Linked DNA regions of Cricetulus griseus. The protein of the gene in region 1 binds, or shares a complex with, the protein of each later gene. Links are inferred from orthologs where the notes say so. Each region holds a gene or a part of one and is shown on either strand. Other genes may lie near its edges.

Region 1 (4,359 bases):
TGTGTGTGTGTGTGTGTGTGTGTGTGTGTGTGTGTGTGTGTGTGTGTGTGTGTGTGTGTGTGTGTGTCTGTGTGTGTGTGTGTGTGTGTGTGTGTGTGTGTGTGTGTGTGTGTGTGTGTGTGTGTGTGGGGGAAGGGGACTTAAAATAAGCCCAAGAGAGAGGAAAAACAGAGACACACTAGGGAAAACGTTCCATGCACATGGAGAAATTTCTTTTGCTGGGAATTGCACTGAGAAACGAACCCCCCTACATACACACACACATCTCCCTGCTGCTTCACTCCCGATGCAAAGCACTCAGTGAGAGTCCTCCAGTCCCACCTCGACAACCCCACACCCCTCAACTCCAGCCCTGCACCCTCCAGCCTGGCTCCAGCGCCGCCGAGAGCTTTCCCCGGGACTGGCCCTGGCGGGGCGCCTAGAGCCCCATTGCATTGCTCCAGGAGAAAGGAGGGGGGCGGTGCATTTTGCAGGAGGAGGAGAACCGGGGTGGGGGGGTGGAATTGTGCGGAGACCTGCCAAGCGCCACCGCCGCCGCCGCCACCGCCGCTGCCGCGCCGCCGCCGCCGCCGCCTGTGAGCTCCGGCGGGCAGCCCGACTGTCGGCTTCCCGGGGCATCTGGGTCCGGCGGGGCACAGCCCTGGGCGCTGCCGGAGCCGCCACCGCCTTCGCGGCCAGTGCAGTCGCTTTCCCCTCGAGCCCGTGCGGCTCCGGCTCCTCGCGGGTGGAGGAGTGGGGGGTGGGGTTGTTGTTTGGGGGGAAGAAGGGGGAGGGGGCAACGCGGAGAGAGTCAGTGGTTTCCATGGTGATGGAGCTGAAAGTGCAGGAAATTTAAAGGCTTGGACCCTGCGAGACAGACAAACCGGTGCCAACGTGCGCGGACGCCGCCGCGCCGCCGCCGCCGCCGCCGCTGGAGTCCGCCGGGCAGAGCCGGCTGCGCAGCCCGGAGCAGGCGGAGGGAAGTGGCCCAGGACCCGCTCGACCCGAGGCGCCGCAAAGAGAGGCAGGACGCCGAGCGGCCGGAGGAGAAGGAGGAGGAGGAGGAGGAAAGAGGCTCGTCCACGCGCCCTGCGCCGCCGGCCGCCCGAGAGAGCAGCGAGGAGCCGGCGCCCCCAGCGCCCCACGGTCGCGCTGGAGTAATCTCGGATGCCCGGCCGCCGCCGCCGCCTTCCCAAGTAGAGCGGCGGGGGGGAGTTGCGACCAACTCGTGCGCGTCTTCTGCGCCGCGGCGGGAGCCGGCGCTGCGCGATCCGCTCTCCTCGCAGCTCATGCTGCCCGCCCTGCGCCTGCCCAGCCTCGGGTGAGCCGCCTCCGGAGGGACCCGGGAGCGCCGCAGCGCCGCGGGCTCGGCGTGCTCTCCTCCGGGGACGCGGGACGAAGAGGCAGCCCCGGGGCGCGCGCGGGAGGCATGGAGCGCTGCCCCAGCCTGGGGGTCACCCTCTACGCCCTGGTGGTGGTCCTGGGACTGCGGGCAGCACCAGCCGGCGGCCAGCACTATCTGCACATCCGCCCGGCGCCCAGCGACAACCTGCCCCTGGTGGACCTCATCGAACACCCGGACCCTATCTTTGACCCTAAGGAGAAGGATCTGAACGAGACGCTGCTGCGCTCGCTGCTCGGGGGCCACTACGACCCGGGCTTCATGGCCACTTCGCCCCCCGAGGACCGACCCGGAGGGGGCGGGGGACCGGCTGGGGGTGCCGAGGACCTGGCGGAGCTGGACCAGCTGCTGCGGCAGAGGCCGTCGGGGGCCATGCCGAGCGAGATCAAAGGGCTGGAGTTCTCTGAGGGCTTGGCCCAAGGCAAGAAGCAGCGCCTGAGCAAGAAGCTGAGGAGGAAGTTACAGATGTGGCTGTGGTCACAGACCTTCTGCCCGGTGCTGTACGCGTGGAATGACCTGGGCAGCCGCTTTTGGCCGCGCTACGTGAAGGTGGGCAGTTGCTTCAGCAAGCGCTCGTGCTCTGTGCCTGAGGGCATGGTGTGTAAGCCGTCCAAGTCTGTGCACCTCACTGTGCTGCGGTGGCGCTGTCAGCGGCGCGGGGGTCAGCGCTGCGGCTGGATTCCCATCCAGTACCCCATCATTTCCGAGTGTAAGTGTTCCTGCTAGAACTCGGGGGCCCCCTGCCCGCGCCCAGACACTTGATGGATCCCCATCAACGCCCCCACACCGCCTCCAACCAGTTCCACCACCCTCTAGCGAGGGTTTTCAATGAACTTTTTTTCTTCTTGGCTACAGAGACCCGGCTTTCTGGTTCATGTAATGCACTGTTTAACTGTGTAGGAATGTATATGTGTGTGTGTATATACGGTCCCAGTTTTAATTTACTTATTAAAAGGTCAGTATTATACGTCAAAAGTTACCGGCTTCTACTGTATTTAAAAAAAGCAAGCAAAAGAAAAAAAAAAGAACAGTGAAAAGAGAGACTTATTCTGGTTGTTGGTAATAATGTTAACCTGCTATTTATATCCCAGTGCCCTTCGCATGGCGAAGCAGGGGAGGGGGGAGTTATTTTTTCTTAAAAGTACAAAGAGAGGGGGAACTTTTGTAGAAGGACTTTTTAAAAAGCTATTTTCCATTCTTCGGAAAGTGTTTTGATTTTACTTAAACCTCGAAGAAGCTATAGAGTTCAATGTTATTTTACAGTTATTGTAAATATAGAGAACAAATGGAATGACTAATCATTGTAAATTAAGAGTATCTGCTATTTATTCTTTATAATATCCCGTGTAGTAAATAAGAAAGAAGTGCAGAACAGGATTAAAGAAAACCACTAAAACCGACTGGGCTCGACACTGTGATTCACTGTGTTGGTGATTGATGGGGGGCGGGGGGGGATGCCGCCGCGCTTACTATTCCTATTGGGAGACAAGCTCATCGTTCCGGACTCCCCTCCTGTGGGGTGATGAAGGTGACTGTAAAATTTTCAGGGGGGGGGGTGTTATTCTCAAACTCCATCTTTTAAGTATCCTGTGGCCTCCACGGAGTCTCCCTGGGTACCCTCCCCCGTGACACCAAAGCTCAGGCCTGTCGTGACCTCGACACCCAGCCGGCCCCCTGGAGCTGACCCCGGGCTGGGCCGATGAGGGAGGGAGGGAGGGGGGCGGCTGCTTTGTCCAGGCTGACAGGCCCTTCACAATGGGGACACGTGTCTTTCACACCTTCCCTGGGGGCGGAGTGCGGCTGAAACTTGACCCCCGAGGAATGGGGGGGATCAGAGCGCGCCCACCCAGATCCCGCCACCCCTCCCTCCTTGCACCCCCACCACAATATCCAGCCCCTGTTAACCCTTTGCATGCCCGGAAACTGCGGTGGTTAGTGCTAAAGCGACCCTTGAATTCAGCTACATACAACCTCAGGGATCCTGCAGGTCTGGAGCCCCTACAACCCAGGCCCACAGCTGACGTGGGAGAGATAATTTGGATATTTGACACTCACCTGGGCCTTTTCCAGGACCTAAGGAAGACTGAGGTCCTGAATTTCAGAGGGGTGTGAATTTGGGTACAAATCACTATCTCTGGGACCTGCAGTCGGGGAGGGGAACACGACCCCTCCCTAGGCACTTAACTCCACTTTGGGGGTTGAGAAGAAAGGAGAAATCAGAATGGGATCTTTACGCTTTAGGATTAGAGACAAAGTTACCCCTTTGAGATTCGGGCAAATATCACTGCACCCCACCCCTTAAAATTCCAGCTTCTTGGGACTGACTCTAGACTCTCGCGTGCATCCCTCCGCCTCAATCCCCAGTGGCGCCCATCCACACAGCTCCACGTGGGCCGGCTTCCTGACACCGCTCCCCGCTCCTTTTTATTTATCTTGGACTCCACAGTCGCTCTCCTTTGCTCCCTTCCCCACCCCCTTGCCACCTCGTCGCGCCTCCCTCCGGGCTCGGATCCTCCGCCCCCCCCCGCCCCCCAGCCCAGAGTAGCAGCGAATCTATGCTAATTATTTCAAACCTGCGCCTGGGTCCCCAGCTCAGTCTCAAAGCCCGGGGCCCCGCCCTCCCAGTCCCTCCAGCCCGGCGCTTTCTTCCCTCCCGACGCAGCCTCGGTGGCTCCTCATTTCAATAGCCTGGCTCGGGAGCCGGAGCCCCCTCCCCGGCGCTGCCTCCGTCAGTCGTGGGACAGACGTTAGGGTATTCATTAACTGGGAGCCGAGGAATAACGGCATTATTCCCCCCAGAGAGGGCACCCTGCCCCCGCGACTATCTGAGGCTTCATTGTAAAAGGATTAAAAGTTAAAGACCTCCATCTTATGATTCTTTCATTTAATCTTTCTGGCGCCTGGGAGACATGCTCGATGGATGATGGCTTTTAAAATATTCCTAATGTCGGCTACCTTAAGACTCCAAGCCGGGCAAA
Region 2 (3,984 bases), on another chromosome or scaffold:
TGTGTAAGACCATAGACTCTGTGTGTGTGTATGTGAGTGTTTGTGTATGTGTTTCGGGGAGTGACGTGTAGAAAATAAAATTAATGTCCGTAGTAGGGAAATAACCTTATCTCTACATTATCTCTGCCCGTCGTCCTGGAAGGTTCACAGAGGAAGTGGCACCTGAGGGGGGAGGGGCAGGGAAAGAACGTCCCCTGAGGAGGAATGGCCAGGGCAGCAGAGCTGGCAGCCGAGTGGGTGTGAAGAGGGGGCTCTGCATGACTGGAGCAAATGAAGTATTCCAGAAGGACGAGAGAAGAGCCAGGTCCAAGGGTGACCACCTCCGAGGAGCCTTCTCGGATTCCCGCGCTCCCTCCCTGGTACTTTCCGCCACAGCCCAAAGGTTCCCAAGTCTCACTTTGGCCACTTCCAAGTGCGAGTCCCGAGAGGGCAGGGCCGCCTCGGATTCCTCTCTCTGCACCCCTGCGGCGTCCGTCCAGGTACAGGACACATGGTGGGCACTCGGTAAATATTTGTAGAGCGCCCAGGGAGGAATGAATGAAGCCATTGGGCCAGGCGTGGGGAGGGCGGGGCCGGGCGCAGGTGGGAGGCCGCGGGAGCGGGAGGGGCGGGGAGGTCGGTCCTCCCGCTCCTCCTCCCCCTCCTCCCGGGCCCCAACGCGCACCACTCCGGGGCTCCCGAGGCGGCTGGAGGGCGATCCGTGGCGCGCAGGGCTGGAGTAGCGATCCGGGACCCCTATTCTGGGCGCGGGAAGTCGGGAGAGGGTCTGTCGCCGGTGCCCGCAGGCCTGGGCGCTACCCGAGCGAGAGGAGGGAGCGAGGGCTCGCCCGGCTCCCAGCCGCCTCCCCGGCACAAGCTCCCCGGACTCGAAGGTCTGCAGGCTGCTGCTCCTCCCACCCCGGCCCGCCTCCTCGCTCTTTCGCTAGCTCTCCCGAGCTGCTGTGCTAACACTGCGGTGCGTCCCGGCGAGTGCGGGCCGAGGGGCCCCGCGCCAGGGCTGAGCGGAGGACAGGGGGATCCCGGGCAGAGCGCAGCCGGCCGGGGAGTGGCCATGTGTGGCAAGGCCTCGGCGAAGCTCGTCTGCAGCAAGTGACCTCGCGTCGTGGACCGCTGCCCTGCCCCCTCTGCTGCCACCTGGGGCAGCGCGGGCACCGGTGCCCCGGATCGCGCGTAGAGCCGGCGCGATGCACGTGCGCTCGCTGCGCGCTGCGGCGCCACACAGCTTCGTGGCTCTCTGGGCGCCTCTGTTCTTACTGCGCTCCGCCCTAGCCGACTTCAGCCTGGACAACGAGGTGCACTCGAGCTTCATCCACCGGCGCCTCCGCAGCCAGGAGCGGCGGGAAATGCAGCGGGAGATCCTGTCCATCTTGGGCTTGCCCCATCGCCCGCGCCCGCACCTCCAGGGGAAGCATAACTCGGCGCCCATGTTCATGTTGGACCTGTACAACGCCATGGCGGTGGAGGAGAGTGGGCCCGACGGCCAGGGCTTCTCCTACCCCTACAAGGCCGTCTTCAGTACCCAGGGTCCCCCTTTAGCCAGCCTGCAGGACAGCCACTTCCTCACCGACGCCGACATGGTCATGAGCTTCGTCAACCTCGGTGAGTGGCGGTGGGAGGGGTATGCCTCAGAAGGGAGCAATTTGGGACAGGGAGAGAGAGGGTCTCTGCTTCCAGCCAGCGGGTCCACCTTCCCATTTGCAAAGTATCAGTGCCCGCCAGAGACTCCCGGACCGGGGTCTGTGCGTCCCCGGTGGGACTTGCCGGCTCAGCCGGTTCGTGGGAGCTACCCGGAGGGAAGGATCGGTTCTGAGTCTCTTTGCCGGCTCCGCCGCTGGTTGGGGAGGGCGGTGCGGGCCCGGCCGCGGCTCAGTTCAAAGCGCCCCGCTGGGTCATGTGAGCTGAACCGGCCACAGCGGCCCGCGCTACCTGGATTTAAAGGGCCCTTGTCGGCCAAGCTGCCTTCCCGCCCTTCTTTCGCTCCTCTGTGGCCAGTCTGGCTCTGGCATCGCGAGCATCCCTTCCCCTTCCCCGCTTTAGCCAGCCCTACCTGTCCCCTTGCGGTGCGCCTGTCTCGGCGCGCGCCCGGAGTGCCTTGGGGCTCCTCTCTCAGTCGCCGGGCCCCTACCTTTGGGCTCTTGTCTGGGGCCGAGGAAAGAACGTTGCCATTGCGAGCTTTCTATTTTAAATATTTAATGATAGGTCCCGGGCGGGCAGAATCCATTTTCAGCGTTTATCACGTGTGGCGCGCAAACCACGGGGTTTGGCGATTGGGTAGCTGGGGACCTCGGAGCAGAGGCCGCCACCGAGTGGCTAGGGAGCCCTCTTCCCTACAGGAGTCCCAGCCAACCAAGTGCTGCGAGGCTGGGTTGCGGCTGGTCCGGGACAGCTCCCCCTGCATCTGTGCGCTCACATGAGTCTAACTTGCTCAAACTAACCCCCGGCGGTGCGCTGTGGGGCTGATCATCAAATATTTGGTTTGGGTGATAACTCACCCTGATAGTGCTGCTTCCTGAACCGCTTTTATTCTGCTTGTGGAAGTTGCTTAGAAAACCCGAAGACACCAAACACCACGGCCGCTGTGTCAACTTGGAAATAATGAAGCTTGAAGGCCACCCCTCCCCCGCTGGGCACCTGGGGCGCGGAAGGGGTCTCACGTTAATCCTTCCAGCTCCAGATAAAGGCCCTGGAATCCCTGGGAGGCCATTGACTGCCTCTATTATTGGTCAAAAAAAAAAAAAATCAAACAATTAAACAGGGGTCATGGTGGGTGATAGAGATGCCAAAACAATATTAAACAAGTTTAAATTCCCCCTTAGACACTTGCTAAGAAGAGGCCCTGCTTTGGAACTGTCTCCAAGATATGAAGGTAGGAAAAAGCCCGTGACCCAAGAACTGCAGAGATTTTTCTGGGGTCAGGGCTTAGGGTGCTAGGCTGTGTTTCACTGTGTCAGTTTTTTTTTTTTTTTAAGCATGTAGATTTATTACCAAACACTAAAGAAGACTCCAAACAGCATGCTTAGCATTATGTGGTAAGCTCGGATGTGTGAAGCCATCCCAAAGCCAGGGTTAATAGGGTCCTTTCGCAGGCGTGAGGGTGGGGGCAGCCTCTGTTCTCTCCTCCTGTGATGTCCAGGAAAGGTCCTAACTGGTGATTCAGAGCCTTGCTGGGCTCATCAAGCAGCGATATATAATCCCTGACTCTGGTGGCAATGTCTGCTTCAGGTCAATCAGTGTGGCCCCAGCTGGCCTCGTGCATCCCAGAAGGCCAGGTGGCTCCCAGGGCGGCTCCCTGGGCCCTGCTGGGAACTTGGCGGGGGCGGTCTCTCCCCCCCTGGCCTTGGATACAAGCTGAGGCTTGCTGGGGAGGCCACAGCTGGGTAGCTTCCTCCGGCTGCACACACACCTTCCAGTCCATTCTTTCATGTTGAAAGGACAAAGACTGACTTGTCTGAGCCTCTTAGTCAGTGGGGCTGGCTTCGGGCTTTTGTGGGACCCTCCTGACTCTCGCAGGCCTGGCTTTCTGGACCATCACTTACAATTAGACAGCAGAGTGGCTTTTAACAGAACCCACGGACCTGGGTCCTGTTTTCTTTCTCTTTCTGTCCCTAACCTATAGGTAATTAGGGGAAGCCCCAGACTGCAGCTAAGAGCTTCCTGTAGGTGCATCTTTAATCTCTGTTGGGCCACAGGACAGGTATGAACCTCCTGCCTCTGCTGGTGTGATTTCTCCCTGGGAGCGACTTGGGGGTGGCGGATGGGTTGGAGAGGGGTGGTGTGACTGCAAACTTGTCCCCACTCTGAGTTTGCTGAGAAAGCTTAGTCGGACTGCCAGTCACGTGGGTCAGAAATAGACAAAGCATTAGAGAGCCAAGTTGACTCTTACCCCCCCCCCCCGCCCCAGGGAGAAAATATCCCTGGTTCCCATCAAGTCATCCCTTGTCACCGTTGCAGCCCTTGGTGTTGGTGCAGACTGGCTTCCCCAGC

Evidence for each region. The genes of interacting proteins can lie anywhere in the genome.
Region 2: the proteins of Nog (region 1) and Bmp7 are in contact, whole or in part, in a crystal structure (PDB 1M4U), measured with the Homo sapiens proteins. The link is inferred for Cricetulus griseus from reciprocal best matches to the Homo sapiens genes NOG and BMP7. Residues at the interface, in NP_005441.1 of Homo sapiens: His29, Tyr30, Leu31, His32, Ile33, Arg34, Pro35, Ala36; in NP_001710.1 of Homo sapiens: Phe365, Pro366, Leu367, Asn368, Ser369, Asn375, Ile378, Val379.

The regions. Positions count from the first base shown.
Region 1 is NC_048600.1:102,462,500-102,466,858, reverse strand, and holds Nog (noggin), read left to right. Parts: upstream 1-1,408; coding exon 1,409-2,107; downstream 2,108-4,359. UniProt on the Homo sapiens protein: Inhibitor of bone morphogenetic proteins (BMP) signaling which is required for growth and patterning of the neural tube and somite. Essential for cartilage morphogenesis and joint formation.
Region 2 is NC_048599.1:6,375,454-6,379,437, forward strand, and holds the start of Bmp7 (bone morphogenetic protein 7), read left to right. Parts: upstream 1-1,184; coding exon 1,185-1,599; intron 1,600-3,984. UniProt on the Homo sapiens protein: Growth factor of the TGF-beta superfamily that plays important role in various biological processes, including embryogenesis, hematopoiesis, neurogenesis and skeletal morphogenesis.